2 linked regions of the Mus musculus genome follow. The protein of the gene in region 1 interacts with the protein of each later gene in a biochemical or structural test. Links are inferred from orthologs where the notes say so. Each region holds a gene or a part of one and is shown on either strand. Other genes may lie near its edges. The genes, in order: Prkca and Hmga1b.

The links.
Region 2: of the proteins of Prkca (region 1) and Hmga1b, one has a biochemical effect on the other in vitro, tested with the Homo sapiens proteins (2 studies listed by BioGRID). The link is inferred for Mus musculus from reciprocal best matches to the Homo sapiens genes PRKCA and HMGA1.

Annotation. Positions count from the first base shown.
Region 1 is NC_000077.6:107,933,670-107,944,365, reverse strand, and holds part of Prkca (protein kinase C alpha type), read left to right. Parts: intron 1-4,685; coding exon 4,686-4,850; 3' UTR 4,851-10,696. UniProt on the Homo sapiens protein: Calcium-activated, phospholipid- and diacylglycerol (DAG)-dependent serine/threonine-protein kinase that is involved in positive and negative regulation of cell proliferation, apoptosis, differentiation, migration and adhesion, tumorigenesis, cardiac hypertrophy, angiogenesis, platelet function and inflammation, by directly phosphorylating targets such as RAF1, BCL2, CSPG4, TNNT2/CTNT, or activating signaling cascade involving MAPK1/3 (ERK1/2) and RAP1GAP.
Region 2 is NC_000077.6:120,758,761-120,769,262, forward strand, and holds Hmga1b (high mobility group protein HMG-I/HMG-Y), read left to right. Parts: upstream 1-4,033; 5' UTR 4,034-4,128; coding exon 4,129-4,230; coding exon of another isoform or gene 4,231-4,263; coding exon 4,264-4,452; 3' UTR 4,453-5,632; downstream 5,633-10,502. UniProt on the Homo sapiens protein: HMG-I/Y bind preferentially to the minor groove of A+T rich regions in double-stranded DNA. It is suggested that these proteins could function in nucleosome phasing and in the 3'-end processing of mRNA transcripts.

The sequences.
Region 1 (10,696 bases):
GCCTTCCCAGGTGGTACTAGATCATGTCTAGCTGATGATTAATGATTAAAACTAATAATTTGGGTAGAGATATCAAAAATGACAAAGATTTTAATTCCTTAATGAAGAGATAAGAGAGAAGGCAGATTGCTAATAGCATTTATTCATTCTTCAAATATCATCTATTTGCATGCAGGGCTATTGGTTCATGTTTATATCTTCTCTCTGTATAACGTCTCATCATTTAGAAAGACCTCACACATGCTAGGTCCTTTAGCTCTCACCAGAGCCTTGGAAGGTGGGTGGTCACATCCCCATTTTACCTTTAAAGGGACATGCAATGAAATTCCTAAAGCTACACCTGGGCCTCTTGATCTTTGGCCTGGTCCTTCACTCTGCTGTCCCTCCTCAAGTGTCAGTACTGAGCATTAGACACAAGCTGTTCCCAAGGAGACCAAGGGACCTGCCTGGGTTCACACACCAGCTCCCCATTTCTCTTCTGAGTTTGTCCTGGGTCACATTTCTGACAGAAGTTTCCACTAGTGAAAGTTGTTGGGGGCCTTTGGAGGTGAATATCATGTCTATTCATTCCAGAGGCATTGTTCATAAGATTATTTAGCTGCTTTGAAGGTCTAGTAGACTATATCTCAGAGGTCACAAACAACCCAGATTTGCCTGTTGTTCTAGCTGCTATTGAAGACTGTCCTTTAAATGGCTATAATAATTTTGGGAAAACATCTGCAGCCAAGCCAGCTTCCTATGCCACTCATTAACTTGCTGATCCACAGATGCCACTTGGGTGCCCCCTCCCATCTCTTATTCCCTACACTGCTCCAAGGTGGCAGCTCTCTACCCATCAAATTGATGATCTCAAGGCTGGGTCACAGGCAGTGAACAATAGATTCTTAAATATATTATCTTCTGCACAACCATCCAAAGAAATCTGATTGCTATAATCCTTATCTGGTTTTGCTGGTAGCATTTAAGATCTCTACATAACATCTTTAAATAGTAGTTCAAGATCTTCTCCAGTTTTCCTAAAAGAGATTGTCTGTTTCTGGGCCTGGTTTTGCTTAGAAGCATAGAAAGTTCATTTTTGAGATACTTTTTCTCAGTGTATGATTAATTTATATTTTTTACAATATGAGATTTATGATTAAAATATTTCTGCTGCCTTTTGGGATATCATTCACTCTCATATGACAACAGTCGGAATAAGACAACTTCTGAGTCTTGTATTTCATCTTCAGACTCAACCCCCAGTTTTACAAAGGCTGTTATCCCCATTTCTTGCTAAGTTATAGTCACACCCCTCATTGCTTTTGTTTGAGGGGGGGGGTTGGTTTGGGTTGGTTGGTTTTGATTTTTTTTTTTTTTTGTCTCATGGTTGATATATTTTAATTTCAGTGATTTAATTTTTATTCTCTGAACTCAGCCTGCTCTTTCCTCTGGTCTCTTTACCTAAATTGAGTCAGTTTAAGAAAAGCCTTCATTTGCCATAATATGGTTTCTCTCCCTCTCTCGTTCTCTTTGAGCAATGGAAAATTCCAAGGAAAGTTGGGGTGAGAGAAGAGAAAGGCGTCTGTGGTGGGGAGCAATTCTGAGACTAACAGACACATGGCCTTTCAATGTGACCACAGAGCAGGGATTTAATTTACTGGTGATCCATGTTTTCCCCTTAGCTACATAGTCTTCAGTACTGACACCATGAGGATTCAAAGAGTTTTTCCATCCCATTACAATTTTTGGCTTTATAAGCACTAGCTGCCTTAGCAATAACTTTTCTTGGAATACTAGCTGCCTTAGCAATAACTCTTCTTGGAATAATAGCTGTAGAATTTGATGTGCTCTTCCCACCCCACCTTCCTCAGTGTTCACGTGGATCCTCTTTGTAGGTTTTAAGGACTCTTTGGCAGTAGATCCCATAGTACTAAGAAACTTCTCACTGCAAACTAATTTGTGAGCATCAGAGAGACAGTATTCAAATAAAGGACCACACAACATAAACTTTTCAAAGAACAAATCCATAAATGCAATGCTAGACAGGCAGGCAAATAGAACATTTACCTTGGCTAGCCTTGCTCTGCCTTGTAGAGACACATATTCTCTCTCTCTCTCTCTCCCTCTCTCTCTCTCTCTCCCTCTCCCTCTCTCTCTCTCTCTCTCTCCTTAGAATCTCCTTCTTGCTCTTCTTTGCATTGTCAGTACCAGAAAGTTGACAAATGATGTCTTCTTAAGTGTTCTCATGCCCACCTTCTAAAAGCATCCACAGTAAATGCACTGCACTTGAGTTCTTCCAGGTAGTTGCTACACATCCATCACCAAAAGGGAGTGTTCCTCAAAGCCAACCCTATAGGGCTATATAACATTGCTTACATCATTTTTCTTTGGCCTTCTACAAATTCTCCATGCTCTACTCCCACACATGGTTGCTTTTGCCTAATTTTCATGCTTGGCCCCTTCACACCAACCACAGGACCTCTCATTACAGTCTAGATATATGGAGTCTAGTGTTTTCCAACAGATGCACTATTGATATTTTGAGCCAATAAATATTTAAGGGAATGGGGAAATCATTCATCTTAGGATATTTAGCAGTATCCCCCTCTAACCACTAGTTGACAATGGCATCCCTTGTCCAAGTTATGGCAATTTTATGAAAATGGATTTCCTGGAGGAAAACTTTTACCTGGTTGAAAATCAAGTCTTACCAAAGAGACAACTTTTTCTTTAGATGTTTATATCATTGCAGTAGAGTTGACTGTATTATCTTAATGGAAACCAGCTTCTGTTGTTCATGTGATTTATGAATCAAAAATATAGACTCCTGATTATTTCCTGGGAAGAAACAGCATTTCCTTACTTGCTTCCTACAGAGCCCTTTTCAGTGGTATCCTCTGCATGTGGCTCTGCCTCTGCTGACCTTTGCTTTGAAGTGCTTTGGATTCTTGCAAAGAAAAACATCATGGGAATATACAGTTTGAAAGCCAAAGTTTTGTGGCTCCACATAGAGGAGCCAGACTAAAATGTAGAGGGTGCTTCATAACCTGTATGGACTCCACAGAGTGACTTGAGGACACTCTGTTCCCCACAACATAACAATATAGAAGCCTACCCTAACCATGTATGCACCACACACACACCCAGAGCCACCCCATCACTGAAGTGTAAAATGTCCTTGAGTTCAGAGTACAGTGGCTATTTATTAAATGAAAATGATATTGGGAAAGGACACTGTTGATTTTGAAGACCTTACTTTGAAGTTAGCATATGTTTTCTATCTCCACAGACACTGAGAAGTGTGTTGTATTTACTGCAGGGAAAATGGAAAATTATAATGAAATGGGTTTCTCTAGAAAACCCATTGGGGAAGTAGGTGAGAAAATACAACCCATGAGCATGAAAGATCTTATTTTAAAGAAATAAATAATGTGTGTTGAACTCTGACCAAGCGCACATTAACCTTTGTAGTGTCATGAGGAGGGAGATACAGTTCCTTTCTCAACTCTACAGAACCTCACAGGTTACCTAGAACTGTCCTCTGTTAGAGAGCCAAGAATTCCGCATTAGGTTAAAATGTATGCTGACTTAACATGAGTTCATGTTGCTCCAGTTATGCTACCAGAAGATAAAAGAGTGACGGTTTGCAGCATGCTCTGCATCATTAGTAGCATCAGTAAAACCCCAGTTCTTCCTTGGAAGCCCCAGAGACTTTGATGTGCCACAACCTTTCTAGGTATTTGGAAAAGTGGGGATATTCCTTTCTTTCCTTCCTAAAAGGAGTTTAATGTTTTGCAAGGGCATCATGCAATAAGTGTTGTATAACTCTAAATTGTATAATTGACTACGAGTTGAGTAAGACTCCCATGCACTACTGCATAAGCAGCTGGCTGGTTAGACAATCACAGGGAAGCTATGCCAAAAGCCTCCATTTGCAAAGAATGCCTTGGTGGATCCTAAAGGACGATAATATTCAAGACAGATCACAGACTTTATTGTGCCTCCTCAGGGTACCTGTGCATATCTTCTCCTGTCTTAAAACTATGCTGTGAATGAGCTCCATGTTGACTTGCCTGCCACTTGACCAGCTCTATCCAGTTATGCATAATTCTTGCTTAGGGCAAGAACTCATCCCCTACATTCTCACTGTACCTACCCCATACTGCTTTAAGATTACTCTGAGAGCTAGAGTTTCTAAAACATGCCAGTTACATGTCAAAGACACACAGCTTCTGTCTGATTATAAATATTACTACAAAGAACCAAATATGAGACAGTAACCACACCTTGTCAATTCATGGGTACCTACAGGCACAATCAATAGCATGGCCTTTTCAACATGGAGCTATGACAGATGGCCCTGTGTGTGCATCATTCATGCTAATAGCTCTGCTTGCTCAATGAGGTAATATTGAAGAAAGAGAGGCTGTCTTTTTGCTATGTTGTAAACAACAGTGCATTTCCATTTAGGATTTTCATTCTGAGAATATTCTCAGAATTATCATATGAGAAGAATTACAATCAAGTAACTATCTGTTGTTTGCTATGCTTGGCTTCTGATTCCAGTAGGCCTGTAAATCCTCCAAGAGTCTTCCTGCCCAGCCAGGCCAATTTCCCTGTGGCACACCCTTCCAGGCTCTCAGTAAACGACTTCTGTGATTTGTATCTTCTGACTTTTTCTTTTTTTCTTTTTTTTTCCCCTACAGTGTGGCAAAGGAGCAGAAAACTTTGACAAGTTCTTCACGCGAGGACAGCCTGTCTTAACACCACCAGATCAGCTGGTCATTGCTAACATAGACCAATCTGATTTTGAAGGGTTCTCGTATGTCAACCCCCAGTTTGTGCACCCAATCTTGCAAAGTGCAGTATGAAACTCAAAAATGAAAGATCAAATGCCTCCCCAGCCCCCAGCATCCCCAGCAGTGGGAAATGATCCTTAACCATAAAAATTTAAGGCTATGGCCTTGTATTTTGTTCCACACAGAGGCCTGGAAATTCTAGGGACATTAGTCAATACATGATCAACTTTTTTCCTCACCCCCCAACCAAAAGCATTATCTTAGTGGATGATGACATAAAGTACAGAGTATAGTTTAATTATGTAGAAGTCATGTCAGCTACAAGTTGATTCTTCCTAAAAAAAATCAAAGCGACTTGGACCCTATTTTTTTTGTACGATTTGATATATTCTCCATACTTTCCATTTCTTGGATTTTCACTATCAGAATCGACCAGAGATAGTAAAGTGAACTCACCCTAACTCAAGGAAACTCAAGGAAACACTTCCACCCAAGATGTCTTTGGAACAAAAGAACAGGAAGTCCAAAGAGAAAGCAAAGAGAGGTTGGGGGCTCATATATTCAAGACCACATAGCTTCTATTCTCCTTTTCAATGGAAACAGTCCCTAGACTCAGAGAGGGCAGGATGAACCTGATCACTGTTCCCAGTCATCATAGCACAACCATAGTGCACAGTTTAAGAAGGAAAGAAAACTTCAGACAAATATTCACTGAATCTACCATCTGTAATCCCCTGCTTGGTTGATAACAATCTCTATAACTCATTCTTTTTAAGAGGCCAAATCATCTAAGGACTTTGCTAAACAAGCATGTGAAATCATTTCAGATCAAGGATAAACCATGTGTACGTTCATTCTAATCTCTGGGAGATGACTCTTCAATCCAGGGTGCCATCAGTAATCATGCCACTGTTCACGAGTGTTGTTAGCCAACCCCACACACACAATATTTTGCTACCTTTGTAGGTACCCTTCCTAAGAAGCTGAAATGTATGACCCCATCCCCCCCCCTTTTTTTACTATTTATTTAATAAGCTGCAGTGTCGTTTATGGAAGTACAATGTATAGTAATTTAGTCAAAGTATTGACTAGCCTCAGTCCCTCTAGATTGATTTTCCTCCTTTCTCTCGCCCCACATCCACTTAGAGATGAAAAAGAGCATAGTTTGGGTTCCCATTCTCAGTTCCTATTGAACGGCACATGTGGAACTGTAGGATCAAGATACTTTATGCTGATATCAACTCAAAGATGTTGTCTTGCTAGAAGGATTTTAATATGTTTTGCGAGTGCATCATGCAATGGATTTTGCATGTTTATAATAAACCTTAATAACGAGTTAATCTATATTATTGATATAATTGTATCAACTATAAAGAGTATTATGATAATTTTTATAAGACACAATTGTGCTATATTTGTGACGCTCATGTTTCCAGTCTGCTTTAAGATTAAGTGTTAGCTTTATTCATTGCTGCTGGGCTCTCACCCGCTACTCCACACACTGGCACTCTATCAGATATATTAATTTTTTAATGTAGATGTAATTTTAAAAATGAATGGCTACTTTACACGTTTAACTAGGGTTTTACTATATATGTGTACATATGTATATATATATATATATATATTTGATTCTACCTACAAACCCCGGTTTTGTTTGTGGGGATTATTTTTTGAGATAAGACTCTGTTAACTTCTTCATGTTATCCTCTGTTCAAGTTCCTTTATCACCCCTTCTCTTGGGGACAGCTGAATATATTTAATTCCAGTATTCCTGATATGTTCATATATATGTGGCATTGTTACAGCACCTAGGCTGAATTGTGTGTGTGTGTGTGTCTGTCTGTCTGTCTGTCTGTCTGTCTGGTACTTTTCAGCCTATGTCTTTGGGGTCTCTAGGGATGAAGGGGTGAGAGAACTCCTTTCTGTGTGTGCATATGGACACCCAAAAATATGTAGTCTGTCTTTCTGCCCCAGAATAACTCACTGTGTACTTCAGAACACACAGAATCCTTGAGACAAACTTTATCTCCATGCCTGTGTAGAGCCATCTCTGAAGCTGTTGCCAACAGACTCTCTTCAGAGGCACATACTGTCTTAAAGCGGTTCCTAGAACATTCCGGTCTTTGAAGAGCATGCCTTTGTCCAAATGCCTCCTAATACAAGGTGTTTAGAAGAGGCAGGCTTCTGCAGCATAAAGGATAAGTGAAAAAGGAGTTCCTACCAGTCCTTAGAGAAGGCACCTCTATCGAAATCATCTCACAGCTAGGCTCTCCTCTTTGTTATTCTCCACCTATCTGCTTGACAGTCACATACCCTGCAACCCACCAAGAGTCTTTGAGATACGGAGCATAGGCTGTTCTGAAAATCCCTAATCAGAAGGAGATATGGAGTCGAGAGTGGGCCAAACCAGAAAAGAGCAGTTTCTTCTGCAATCTTTCATGAATTCTGGACTTCAGACCTCAAAAAGTGGGGAAGGGTGTCATATATGGATCTCAGAAGTCAAGTTCACCATCTTGGTAACCTAGCCTTATCAAAAACACTGTACTCAGTCCAACTGTAAAGGAACTGGCTTATCAATGAGCCTTGGAAGTGAAAGCATTGCTCTTCCCAGGTGGGACAGCAACAGGAAGCTGAACCTCTCAAAGTGGGGGAAACCACAGAGAAGGAGCACAGGGTTCGTAGACAATCCACCCTGAGGTGCCAAGCTGCCTGACTCTCATGCCAGTAGCAGGCTTGGGTTCTTCCTTAAACCGCCAGCATCCAGCTCCGAGTGATTCAACTTCTCTAGAAAATGTGTGCGGTTCCTTGGATGGCTTGTACGCTTAGAGAATACCCACCAACATTCTCACACTGGAGGAGGGAAATAACAGAGCCACAGACCAGCAATTGCCTAAGGAACAGAACACTGGAGAACAAACTTAGGAGAGATGATAAAAATTTAAGGACGTGTTCATGATGCTGCCTATTCTATACACTGCTGAGGGTTAAATTCAGATGAAGGCTAGTACTTTAAAGATCTGGACAGCAGAGACAACTTTTGCTACAAAACTAACTCACCTGGATAACCACTAGCAGCTGTTAGGCAGGATCAATTGATACTATTCTACATCCTTGTCCCACTTCACAGACCTTGTATGAAACAGGGCTACAGGGAAACATCTGCCATTTGAACTGAAGCAACCAAGCAGGAGGCCAGAACCAGGAGGGTGCCTTGAAGGGTTTAATCCCCAGGGGCAGGGGTGGGAACTATTTAGAATGTACCTGCTCTCAGGCTGTGCCTGCATTGGCAGGGTCTGTGGAGGAGAACCTAGCACAATCCAAGTCTCCACAGGGACCCATCAGGCCGTGACCCAGAAAATCCATTGAAATAATTTTGTATTATATTCCCCTGGAAGGTGGCCATTTCCCAGGAGCAGCTCTTCCCTGTTCCACCACAGGCCGGTGGGCTGCTAGCTCTGCCTTCAGTGTGGCATCTAAAGTTACCTGGTGCTTGGGTTGAATGGAAAGAGCTGGAGTATGCTGCCAGGTGCAGCCCCAGGAGTTAATGGGAGGCTTACCCCAGGCAGCAGCTAATTCAGAAGGCAGAAGAGAAGCCCCAGGAGCTAAACTGATTGCCCTTCACCCTCCTACCTCTGTGGCCTAGTTTGAGCTAGTAGCCTTTTCTTTAATTTAGTCTTTTTTATTAGTAATTTGAGAAACTCAGGAGGCCCAGAGTTTTCCGGAAGCTTGGTCTGAGATGGTCACGTGAAAGATTACCAGAGGCCAGTATTAACCCTCAAATGTTGCTGCTCACAAGCTCCAGTTCTTAGCAAATAAATCATGGTGGCTTGCCAACCCCAAAAGAGCCACTCATCGATGTATCACAAAGAGGAGGAAGCAGAAGTCAACACCATTAAAGAGCAGGGTTTGAGTGCACCCAGGAAGACATGGAAGGTGGTGGAAAGGTTGTGTTAATCTGCATGGGCTTTCCACTGGGGGTCATTGTGCAAATGGAAGTTACTGTTCATCAGCCTTCAAAGGTGTGGCTTTTTGCCAGATACAACCTTTTGTTCGTTCTCAGACTCTCCCAACTGTAACAAGTCCTTTGCCCAGAGCCGAGCCAGCCAGCAGACCCTAGAAGCACTTAGTTCCATCTTTATCCCTCTGATAATTATGGCTGCTGAGACTAGGTCCAGAAGTCACGAAAACAACCAACAACGACCTGCCAGCTTCTGCTCAGCAGAGAAAAATAGGAAGGGTTTGTGCAGGGCTTTATTTTCTCAAACGCCTCCACAAGGCAACACCACCTGACAGTCATTTTCTCACCTTGGTCTTATGAAATCATCTATTTCTTGTGTGTACATGTCACGCTGTTTCCTGTTTGTTTACAACCCTAGAAGGGTAGGGTTACCTGTCCCCATGCCACGGCTGAGCACATCAGTCACTCTCAGGAGATGCGTGCTGAGCCAGGGACCTGAAAGGATGCTGACCATGGGGGGTTGGGGGGACAATAGCAAGGAAGGAGACAGGTCCTCTGGTTAGCAGTGGGTCCACACTAACATGACAGAGTGTTAGGAAACTGGTTTTAAAATTGTTTTCCATGAACTGCTGTTAACAAAATGTGCTGGACAGTCAACACCCCTGCCACATCTCACTGGGCCAGCGTAGCAAATCTAGAAGAAGCAGATACTTTCTGCTGTCAGAATAATCCAGAAAATCAGGAAAGGGTGCTTGAGGCATGCACAGACACAGTGTTCTAGAAACGGTGTCTAATGCTGTCCCAGGGATGATACAGCAATGGTTAAAAAGTGTGGTTGGCTCAGCATTCGTGTGGTCAGGTGTCAGTCAATGAACAGAAGACACACCAGGTTGTTAAACAGCCTTACTGTGACCCTCCTCAGAAGCCCACAAGTTCCAAAGACTTTTTTTAACCTAAAACAAGAAATTAACTTATTAACTCCAAGAGAGTACCTGGGTATCCTGGGCTATTTGTACTTTTTTATAGAGGACTTTAATAACTCAATTCTTTTCAAGTGAGTTTTTAAAATAATAAAAATTTCATAAATTTCCAATTCCATGCAACTTATAGGAGGATTTCACCCAGGTTGGATAGAGCACCCACGATCTGCATTCCCACAGCGGGATTTTCCCGTGCTAGTGAGGTCTGGAGTCCACATTGGATTGGCTGGCATTTCCTAGCAGACACTAAAGATAGCTGTGCAAGGTTTAGCTATCGCTCAACTGTGGGGATGACGGCTTTATAGCTCCCCTTCCTGATACAGCCCCCGGAAAGGATTCTTGGGGATCTACAGGACCCCACTCTTCACTGTAAGAGTCAGAGCAGGAAGGGGGTGCTTCTTCAACTCTGGCTCAAGTCCCCTCTGGTCTCTCAGTCTCTCGCATTTGATTAAAATGGAGAGATGCCCTCTAAGGATTCTGCCCACTGGGCAATTCAAGCCTCCTACCCCGAGAAGAGACAGCGCTGAGTGTGCCTGGGCATCTGCGTCCATGCCCATGGATGTGAGTAGACAGAACCCTACTTTTGAGAAAACGCCTATCCAGCCCACTTTGTAAGAACCCCCTTTTTCTAAACTATGACAAAAGGCGGCTTTGCACTTTCTGATCAAACAACACTGTCTTTTGTCTCCTGCTTAACTTTTAAGACTATTCTGTGACCGACGTTTGTAGATTTTTTTTTTTGTTAATATTTTGCCTGGAAAAATGTGACTCTCTCCTTGGGAGGTTTAGTAGACTAATAAAAATTATACATGAAGGTGGTTGCTATTTTGAGGCTAAAGGTTTTTCTAAGAATCGCCCTCGTATCCTGACCGTGAAGGCTTTTCAGGATACCTTTTATAGACGATCAGATGCATTCGAGCTGTGTTTCCTACATGATTTCTGTTTTGTTTTATGAAGGACACGCCATGTTTAAATCT
Region 2 (10,502 bases), about 13 Mb from region 1:
TATAGACTAGGATGACCCCAAACACATAGAGATCTGCCTATGCCTGCCTCCCTAGTGTTTGCCTTAAAGAAATGTGCTATTATTTATTTTGATTTGATGTGCATGAGTGTTTTTTCAGCTTGTATATTAGTGGGCCACATGCATGCAATGCCTATGGAGAGCAGAAAAGAGCTTTATCTCCTGGGACTGGAGTTACAGATGGTTGTGAGCTGCCATGTGGGTGCTGGGAACTGAACCCTGGTCCTCTGCAAGAACAGCAAATGCTCTCACCATGGAGCCTTCTCTCCAGCTCCCATGTACAGGGCTGTAGACTGTCATTGTCCTTATGCCTACACACACACACACACACACACACACAAAATACCTGTCAGTGCCAGTTCTGTTGGCCCAAGGGAAAGAGAAGACACACACATGGTCCAGGCTGCAGCCCATGCTGCTTTGCCATCTGGCAAGTTTTGGCAGACAGCCTGTCAAAGGACATGGCTTCAGTCAGCTCCAAGCACAGTCCACTCATGGTTTGATGATTGTGTGTAGGAGTGGTGTCTTAGTTACTTCTCTGTTGCCACGACCAGGGCAACTCATAGAAGAAAATATTTCATTGGGGGATCATGGTTCCTGAAGGTTAGTTTCCATGACCATCATGGAATGAAGCATGGTGGCAGACAGGCAGGCATGGTGCTGGAGCAGCAGCTGAGAGCTTACATGTGATCCACAGATGGCAGAGAGAGAAAAAGCCACCTGGGAATGAGGTGGGTTTTTGAAACCTCAAAGCCTACCAGCAGTGACACACCTCTTCCAGTGAGGCCACACCTCCTAATCCTTCTCAGACAGTTCCACCAACTGGAGACCAAGCTTTCAACTACGAGCCTGTGGGGACCATTCTCATATAAATCACCAGTAGTGGGATTGAGACAGGGTATTGCTATGTAGCTCTGGGTGGCCTAGGACTCACAACATAGACCAGGCTGGCCTCAAACTTAAAGCTATGATTCTGACTCCAAGGGCTGAAATTGTAGGTGGGAACCACTACACTCTGCGACACTAGGTTTTTTCTGTTTTTTGTTTTTTGTTTTTTTTTAAGATTTATTTATTATTATTCATTAGTACACTGTAGCTGTCTTCAGATGCACCAGAAGAGGGTGTCAGATCTCATTACGGATGGTTGTGAGCCACCATGTGGTTGCTGGGATTTGAACTCAGGATCTTCGGAAGAGCAGTCAGTGCTCTTAACCGCTGAGCCATCTCGCCAGCCCCCGACACTTGGTTTTAATGTCTGTGTGTATCTGCACAGGTGTGAGCATGTCTGCTGCCAGATGCACGTGTGTGCACTCATGATTGGAGGCCAAAAGGTTAATGTCAGTTTTCTTGCTGGGTCTAGTTTCCCCTAAACTCCTCCCAAAGGCCTTTCCTTCTGTTGTTCGACAAAACTTTTCCTGGAGAGACACAACATGCATATCCACGCTCTCCATTAGGTAGCCCATAAAAGACCAGTGTACAGACACCACCGGAAGCTTGGTGAGCCATGAGATTTATTGGGGTTACCTATGGGAGTATTGGTGAGGAATTTCTTACAGGATCAGATGGCATTCACTGTAGCTCAGCTCCAGTGACAGCTCACAAAGACTGGAAACCTGGAGCACAATTCATAGCCTGAATGCAGCTCAACAGGTGGGAGAGTATCTCTTTCATGTGGTTTAGTTGGTCTAAACCTCTTGTAGGTTGTGGGGTAAGTGGGTGCGGCCGCAGGCCACGTCAAACCCACTTGTTTACTGCCTTGCCCGAGCATGCGCAGTGAGGCTGCATGCGTGGGCTGCCTGCCAGGCTGGACAGTTCCTCGTGATCCAGACCTGTCAGCCTATCTGTGAACGACCTAAGCTCGTGCCTGGAGAGAGAGAGAGAGAGAGAGAGAGAGAGAGAGAGAGAGAGAGAGAGTGTGTGTGTGTGTGTGTGTGTGTGAATTCTGATTGATTGGATGATGTGGGGTGGAGCTAGAAGGAGGAGTCGGCGTGAGTAGTGAGAAGAGTTTAGCCCTTGCTGCAAGAAAGATGGAGTAGTAAAAGCTGCTGTTGTAAGTGGTAGAAGCTAGCAATTGTAAAAGAAGCCAGTAGTAGTGAAGAGAGTTTTTTAGCCCTTGCCCTAGGTATGTGGGAAGCCACATGTGCCGTTGCAGAGTGGCACTGACTACTGCTGGCCACCACGCATAAGTTTGGACAAACAACCAATGTGTACATATGCAGTAAAGTTTTTTGCAAAGACACTGCCTGGCCCGGGCATGATAATGAGGTTCTGTAAGGTACTGAGAGTATAACCAATCAGATGTGAGACATGCAAATGAGGTATGATAATGAGGCTCTGTGAGGTACTGAGAGAGAGTAGCCAATCAGATGAGGAACATGCAAATGAGGCGTAGTGCATAACCAATCCAGGTGTGAGACACGCCTCTCCTAGGCCTATAAAAGCAGCACCAGTTCTGGGCTCGGGGTCTTTTCACCTCTGCAATCAAGCTCTCCCAATAAACGTGTGCAGGATCCTGTTGCAGCGTCATTCTTGCTGGTCGAGTCCGGCGCACGCAAGATAGGTAGAAGCCAGAAGTAGTGAATAAGAGTAGTTTTAGCCCTTGCCGTGAGTAGTAGTAGAGTAGTGAGTAGTTTAGCCCTTCCCCTAAGAAGAAGCTGCTGGGGAAGAGAGCTGTAAAAGAAAGAGCCTGAAGTAAAGATGTTGCTGCATGAACCCGACTTGGTGCCTGTGTCGTTCTTGTCACCACCGGCTCGGAGTGGAGATGACGACAGTAGGTAGGTAACTCAGCTGACTTTTGCGTCTTCTGGGCTCTGATCTGCAGTCTTTCTTCTTTGCTGCTTGGTTTGTCTGAGAGAGACTCTCAGCTTTTGTTGCTTACCCTGACAGCAAGGGATCTTGTGAAATTGGTCAGTTTCAGGAACTTCCTGAAACTATATGAGTTGTTTGCATCCCTACTTAAGGAACTTCCATGCAGGATGGGGTGTTTTAATTTCAAAGGAAACTGTTATACAACAGTCCTCACATAATGTTGTAGTTAGGGCTCAGCACATGACTCTGGATAGAGAAGTCTTCAGACAACATAGGTGACAGGAGATAGAGCAGGAGCTGTGGAGGGTGAAGACATCTTAGGAGAAATGCGCTCCTAAGGGCGAAGCTAGCAGATGACTGTCTTCCCAAGACGTTGGAGCTTGATGCTCCCTTCCTGGTAAACCACTTCCTCCTGCCTGGTGGCCAACTGGCATCCCTGAAAGGCCACCATTTCCCAGGAGTTCCGATGGCCACCAGACAGCAGGTTGGTCACAATCCACAGCTTTTGTCATAGAAGGGGAAGGGCTTTGATCTTACTGGATAGATCAGGCCAGACACCAGTATTCAGTGCCACCTGGAGGTTGGCTATAGGACTTGGTGGTTTGCTCAGACTGGGATCAAGGACACAGTGAGCAGGCATGATCTGTCCCTGTTAGCTATGAGGAAACTGCCAGGCAGCAGCAAATGATTGGGCTCCGGGCCCCCACTGTGTATGCTGTCCCCTGAGCCACAGGAAGGTCCCAGAGCACCCTTCTGACCAGTGCGGAGGAATGCTCAGGGGAAGGGTACTGCTGTCCCTGCACTATAGAGCACTGGAAGTACAGCTGCCTCCTTTCAGCGACTCACACGGTCTCAGTGCAGAGCCTGGACTGAGCAAGGGAAAGGCGGCAGTCTGAGCACACCTCCTCCCCAGGGCTGTCCATGAGGCATCTGAGCCTCCTGCCCGGCCCAGATGTCGTGTGACCTGCTATGACTCACTGGATCGTGAGTACTTGTTCCATGAACCCTGACACACAAGACAAGAGACCCTCAGCACACCTCAAACAATCGCCAGACACGGGTTGAGGTGCACAATATTCTCTGATTACTCCTAACTGGCTCCAAAGAACCAGGTCTCTGCTCAGAGAAGAGGAGATGCACAGAGGTACTCAGGGTTTGCAACTGGGGCAGGAAACCCCAGAATCCATGCTTAGATTTACAAGAGTCGCCTCTAATTGGGACTCCGAGTCGGGGCTATTTCTGGTGTTGGCGCGGCTCCAAGAAGGCACTCACTGTGTGCTGCCCCACACATAGAGAAGGAGAATGAGCGAGTCGGGCTCAAAGTCCAGCCAGCCCCTGGCCTCCAAGCAGGAAAAGGATGGGACTGAGAAGCGAGGCCGGGGCAGGCCACGCAAGCAGCCTCCGGTGAGTCCTGGGACGGCGCTGGTCGGGAGTCAGAAAGAGCCCAGTGAAGTGCCAACTCCGAAGAGACCTCGGGGCCGACCAAAGGGAAGCAAGAATAAGGGCGCCGCCAAGACCCGGAAAGTCACCACAGCTCCAGGGAGGAAACCAAGGGGCAGACCCAAGAAACTGGAGAAGGAGGAAGAGGAGGGCATCTCCCAGGAGTCCTCTGAGGAGGAGCAGTGATCACCACTCGCAGTGCCGCCTGCTCCATAGCCACTGAGGAGCAGCTGTCCCCTGGGACTGGAAGCCCTGCTCCCAGGCCCCTCCCCGCCCCCACTGCACACTACCGCACCAGGCACCAGCTGCAGGCTCTGCTCCGCAGCACCCAAGGGAGCAGGATTCGGCTCAGTCCCTGTGCCCTCCTCCCGAACACACCTGCCCCATCCTGACAAGGCTAACTTCCCATTTAGCCGCAGCCCGGCCTGCTGCGCACCTCCCTCAGAGCCGTGGCTCTCTGGGCGCTTTGTTTTGCGGGTCCCTTCTGCCCTGCTGTTCCTGGCTTCCCCGTAGAGGGTCCTGGGAGCATTCCCTGGCCTTAAGGGGCCCCGGCCCCATCTCACTCTGACAAGGCCCAGTGGCTGACCTAGCAGCAGCAGTGTGGTCAGGGCAGGGGATGCTTAGATCCCAGCATGTCCCCACCAAAGTATCACCGGGTGGGTTTCTCAGCCCCTCCTGCCCCACCCTACAGAGATCATGCACTGGGTTGGCTGAGCCCCTTGACAACAGGAAGTAGGATGATGTTGGCTCCACCCACTTTAATGTTCTCACCTGAGACTAGACAGATGGGGTTACCGCCCATCTCCAGAGTAAGGGCCTGTTCTCGCCTCCACCAAAGGCAAACGGGCACCAACACGCCTCCCCCAGTCCACTCTAGGCTGTTCCTTCCTCCCGCAGGGCACTAAGGAGCTAGCCTTGCCGCCCCCTCCTTTTCGCTCCTCCCTGCCCCCCATGGTTCTGGTTCCATCTTCTCCTCTGTTCACAAACTACCTCTGGACGGTTGTGTTGTTTTTTTTTTGTTCCATGTTCATTCTTAGATACCCACTATTGCTGCTGCTACCAGCGTCAGATGTTCATCCTCCTGAATTTGCCTGTATTCTCTCCCCCACACAATACACTCGAGGGGAAGGGGGGCTGGGGCGCAGCAGACTGGTTACCTACCCCACACTAAGGAAGATGGGGCCCCACCCCGTGGATGCTGCAGCAGAGTGAGGATGGGGGCCCACTTTGATGGGAAAAGGGTGTAGGGCCACCTCCCCTTGTTCTGTGGGGGAGGGGTGGCCAGTATTTGTCCCAGCCTGGGGCTTCCTCCCTGGTTTCTTATTTGCAGTTACTTGAATAAAAAACAAATAGCCTTTTCTGGACAGTCAAAAAAAAAAAAAAAAAAAAAAAAGATTTACAAGAGTCCTGCCTCAAAGTAAAGACGGTGCCTCAGTGTCTCTGCCAAAGGCGGAGTTCCTGGCTGGTACGGGGCAGCAGGTGAGGGGCACCTGGGAGGAACAGATTGAGGGGAACAGCCAGGGGACTCTCTAGACACACTGCAGGCATGGTGGGTTCTTGGGTCCCTGGGCATTGGAATCCAGTGTGCCTGCTCCAGCTAGATCACATCACTACCTTCATTTATAACAACAAAACAAAAAGTCCCAAGCTGATGCTTCTGTCCAGATAATTCCAAACCCAGCAATCTCACTGCCCTGGGCCGAGGGTGTGGCTCACATCACCGAGCATCACTGATGGGGCACCGTTGGCTTAGTATGCTCTCAGGCCCTGGGTTCAAGACTCCACATCTCATTGCTGAAAATTCAGATTCCTTCTTTAGGTTGCCCCTTCCTTCCCGCTACACTGCTGTGTCAGACCCTCTCACAGGCACATGTGTGTGCACACATGCTTCCACTGCTTTGTCAGACGTTCTACATGTGTGTGCACACTTCTTCTCATTGGCTCGTTTTGTTTTGTTTTGGTTTGGTTTTTTGTTTTTCGAGACAGGGTTTCTCTGTATAGCCCTGGCTGTCCTGGAACTCACTCTGTAGACCAGGCTGGCCTCAAACTCAGAAATCTGCCTGCCTCTGCCTCCCAAGTGCTGGGATTAAAGGCGTGCGCCACCCCCACCCGGCTCTCATTGGCTCTTTAAGTCCCGCACGAGCAGCTGATTGGCACTTCTGAGGAGCAAGGAGGGCTGCCAGGAGGGAGCAGAATGTCTGCCCCAACCCTGCCCCACTCACTAGTTCCATCTTAACAACCTTAACCCTCCCCTTACTGCAGGAGGACACTGGTGTCAGTAGCATGAAGCTGAATTTCAGTGGGCTGAGGGCCCTGGTGACAGGGACAGGGAAAGGTGAGTGTGAGCAGGGAAGCAGGTGAGTGTGAGCGGGGAAGTAAGATGAATGTGAGCAGGCAAGTGAGGTCAGTGTGAGCAGGAAAGTGGAGAGAGTGTGAACAAGGAAGTGGGGTGAGAGTGAGCAGGAAAGGTGAGTGTGAGCGGGGAAGTGAGATGAGTGTGGAAAGGTGAGTGTGATCAGGGGAAGGTGTGTGAGTGAGGAAAGGTGAGTGTGAGCGGGTGGGGAGTTGGACTGGAAAGAGGAAGGAGGCCAGCCTCAGCATTGTCCCCTGGCCAGAGACCTGCTGCCCACCAGGTCAGATTGCCAGCCTCTCCTTGGCTACCACGTGCTCCACTCTGAAGGACAAGCTGGGCTCGGCATCAAGGCAGTTCCTAGGTCCAGGCTGGGAAGATGGGCACTAGTCACCCTTCTCTGGGACACCATCATGAGCATGAGGGGACTGTCTTCTTTGACCTGATACCAGTCTGTCTGGCCTCTGACAAGGGGATAGTCCTACCTCACCCTGGCTTACAGCCTTTTGGTCAGCACACTTGCGCTGCTTGGAGCAACAGTCTTTACTTAACCCTTCCAGGACCCAGATCCTTCTGTAACCAGGCCTACAAGGCCCTTGTTCCACCATTCTCCTACAGGGAATAGACAGTGTACTGTGAAGGCCCTGCATGCCTCAGGAGCCAAAGTGGTGGCTTTGACTCGGACCAACGCAGACCTGGTCAGCCTTTCAAAGAGTTAAGGCACAGAGACTGCCATGGCTGGGGCCTGTTCTCCACCCTCAAGAATACATTAGAAGCTGGCTGAGACAATGTCTCAGGCCACCAATGTCCCCCACAGTGTCCTGGGATAGAGTCCGTGTGTGGACCTGGGTGACTAGGAGGTCACATAGAAGGAGCTGGGTGGTATCGGCCCTGTGGACTTGCTGGTGAACAACACAGGGGTGGTGCTGATGCAGCCTTTTATAGAGTCTACAAAGGAGATCTTTGACAGGTGGGCCCTCAGGGAGAGCAGGCAGGCTGGGGAGGGTCACTGAAGATGGCTGGCTCAGTAGGCTGATAGTCCCCTTCTGCTAGGTCCTTCATTGTAAATGTGTGTGCTGTTCTGCAGGTGTCTCAGGTGAGGAGACAGGAGGGCTGTGGCCCAGATGCAAACCTGGAGAGGGTGGGGTGGGATAATGCATATGTTTGCCCTAAACTCTTGACTTCCAGATGGTAGCCTGAGGCATGATTAACTGTGGAGTGGCAGGATCCATTGTTAACATCTCCAGCTTGGTGGCCTATGTCACCTATCCTGACCTGACCACCTACTGTGAGTGCATTGTGGTAGGAACAGGAGTAGGTTCTGTGTGGTCCTCCCAGAAGGAGGACTGAATAACTGAGGGGTCCTCAACACTCACACACATCCACAGGCTCCACCAAGGGCACATTAACTATGTTGACCAAAGCCATGGCCATGGAACTAGGGCCACACAAGGTAGGCACAGGGGGCCGGGCCACACCTGAGGGACAGGCGATGGGCACCTGGGGCAGGGCTGGGGGTTGAGGGTGAGGACTATAGAAGGCTCTGAGCACTGGGCTCAGGGTTCATCTGGACAGAGTAAGCAAGCTCATCAGGCCGGTCCTGGGGCGGCGAGTCCTGAGCTGGGCAGGTAGGGCTCCTTCCTCAGCTGTGCCACCAGCTGTGGCTTCTGGCCCCAGATCCGGGTAAACTCCGTAAACCCCACTGTGGTGCTGACTGACATGGGCAAGAAAGTCTCTGCAGACCCTGAGTTTGCCAGGAAGCTCAAGGAGCGCCACCCACTGAGGAAGTTCGCAGGTCAGCTGGGGACAGTGGGTGAGGGGAACTATGTGGTTTGTCAGCAGCCAAGCAAGGGAGAGAGCCTTGACTGGTCTGTTCTCCTGCAGAGGTTGAAGACGTCATCCAACAGCATCCTCTTCCTGCTCAGCGACAGAAGTGCCTCTACCAGTGGCGGTGGCATCCTGGTGGATGCTGGCTACCTGGCCTCCTAGTCTGCCCAGATGGCACCTACAGACCCCTGGAGACTTCCCTGGATCCACTCTCACACCACACCTCTGCCTTCAACCCAGGTCATCAGCTCTGCTTCTACCCTGTGGATCTACCCCACATCCATCCCCACCCTCAGGTCCAGGATCTCCCATCCTCTGTATCAGCTAGGCTGGGCTGATTTGCTTAAATAAATGGACCATAGTTTCTGTCTTAGTCAGGGTTTGTAGTCCTGCACAAAACATCATGACTAGAAAGTAAGCTGGGGAGGAAAGGGTTTATTCAGCTGACACTTCCACGTTGCTGTTCATCACCAAAGGAAGACAGGACAGGAACTCGCACAGGACAGGAACTTGGAGGCAGGAGCTGATGCAGAGGCCATGGGTGGACGCTGCTTACTGGATTGCATCCCCTGGCTTGCTCAGCCTGCTTTCTTATAGAACCCAGGACTACTAGCCCAGGTGTGGCACCACCCACAATGGGATGGGCCCTTCCATCCTTGATCACTAATTGAGAAAATTCTTTACAGCTGGATCTCATGGAGGCACTTCCTCAAGAGAGGCTCCTTTCTCTGTGATAACTCCAGCTTGTGTCAAGTTGACACACAAATCCAGCCAGTACAGTATCCCAAATCCTGAAAGCACACACCTGGTGCACTGTGGAAGCAGTGTTGTATGGTCATCTGTGCATTTACACGACCCATTGTTTTGTGCAGAATGCCTGGGTGGAGAGATTACATAGGTGCCCCTAGTTCCCCCTTTGGATCCTGCTGCTGCCTCTTGTCTATCACCTCCTCCAGGCCTGTGTCAGTGACCATGGCCTGGAAACCCCAGGTTTATGGTGGCCCTGCATGACCTGGGATTGGGATACAGACAGTTGGCTCTTTAAAAAGGAGGGGTATACAGTCAAACAATATGTGAAACTGTTTGTCAGGGTTAGTGGCTGAACAGAAGTGGGAGTAACACAAGGATCCCCTTACACAAGGAAGTGGTTTTTCAAAGTGCATGGGATTGATCCAACTACAGAGAGTGGAGTCTGTTTAGTCAACCTTTGTCCTGGCTGCTCCTATGGCAACTTGACACAGGCTAGAGTCATCAGAGAGGAAGGAGCCTCAGATGAGAAAATGCCTCCATGAGATCCAGCTGTAAGATTAGCATTTCCCTAATGAGTGATTGATAGGGGAGGGAACAGCCCATTGTGGTGCCATCCCTGGGCCAGTGGTCCTTGGTTCTACGAGAAAGCAACCCAAGGGAAGCAGTGGTGCCACACGCCTTTAATCCCAGCACTTGGGAGGTTAGAGGCGGATCTCTGCTGGGCATGGTGGTGTATGCCTTTATCCCAGAGCTCAGGAGGCAGGGGAAAAAGGATCTGTGGGTTCGAGCCAACCTGCTGAGTTCTAGGACAACCAGGACTACATGGAGACCTCAAAATAAAACAAAACTGGTTTTATTTGTATGGGTGTTTTGTGTGCATATATCTGTGTACAACTTGCAAGCCTGATGCTCTCAGAAGTCATGGCATCAGAGGCTCTGGACCTGGAATTGTGGGTGGCTGTGAGCCAATATGTTGGTTCTGGGAACCCATTTGTTGATTTTTTTTCTTTCCTCTTGCTTTTTTTTAAAGATTTATGTATTTATTTATTTTAATGTATATGAGCACACTGTAGCTGTACAGATTGTGAGCCTTCATGTGGTTATTGGGAATTGTATTTAGGACCTCCACTCACTTATTATTTGCTACGCTCTCTGGTCGAGTCAGCTTGACAGGCTGAGGCTTGAAAGCTACTCACAAGGCAAAAGAGTTTCACAGAAACTCGCTCTTGGAGTCTGGCGTTCTCTCTAACCCATGCATTAATTTTCCATTCCCGCGTTAGTCTAGTGGATGGATCCACATGCTCTCTTT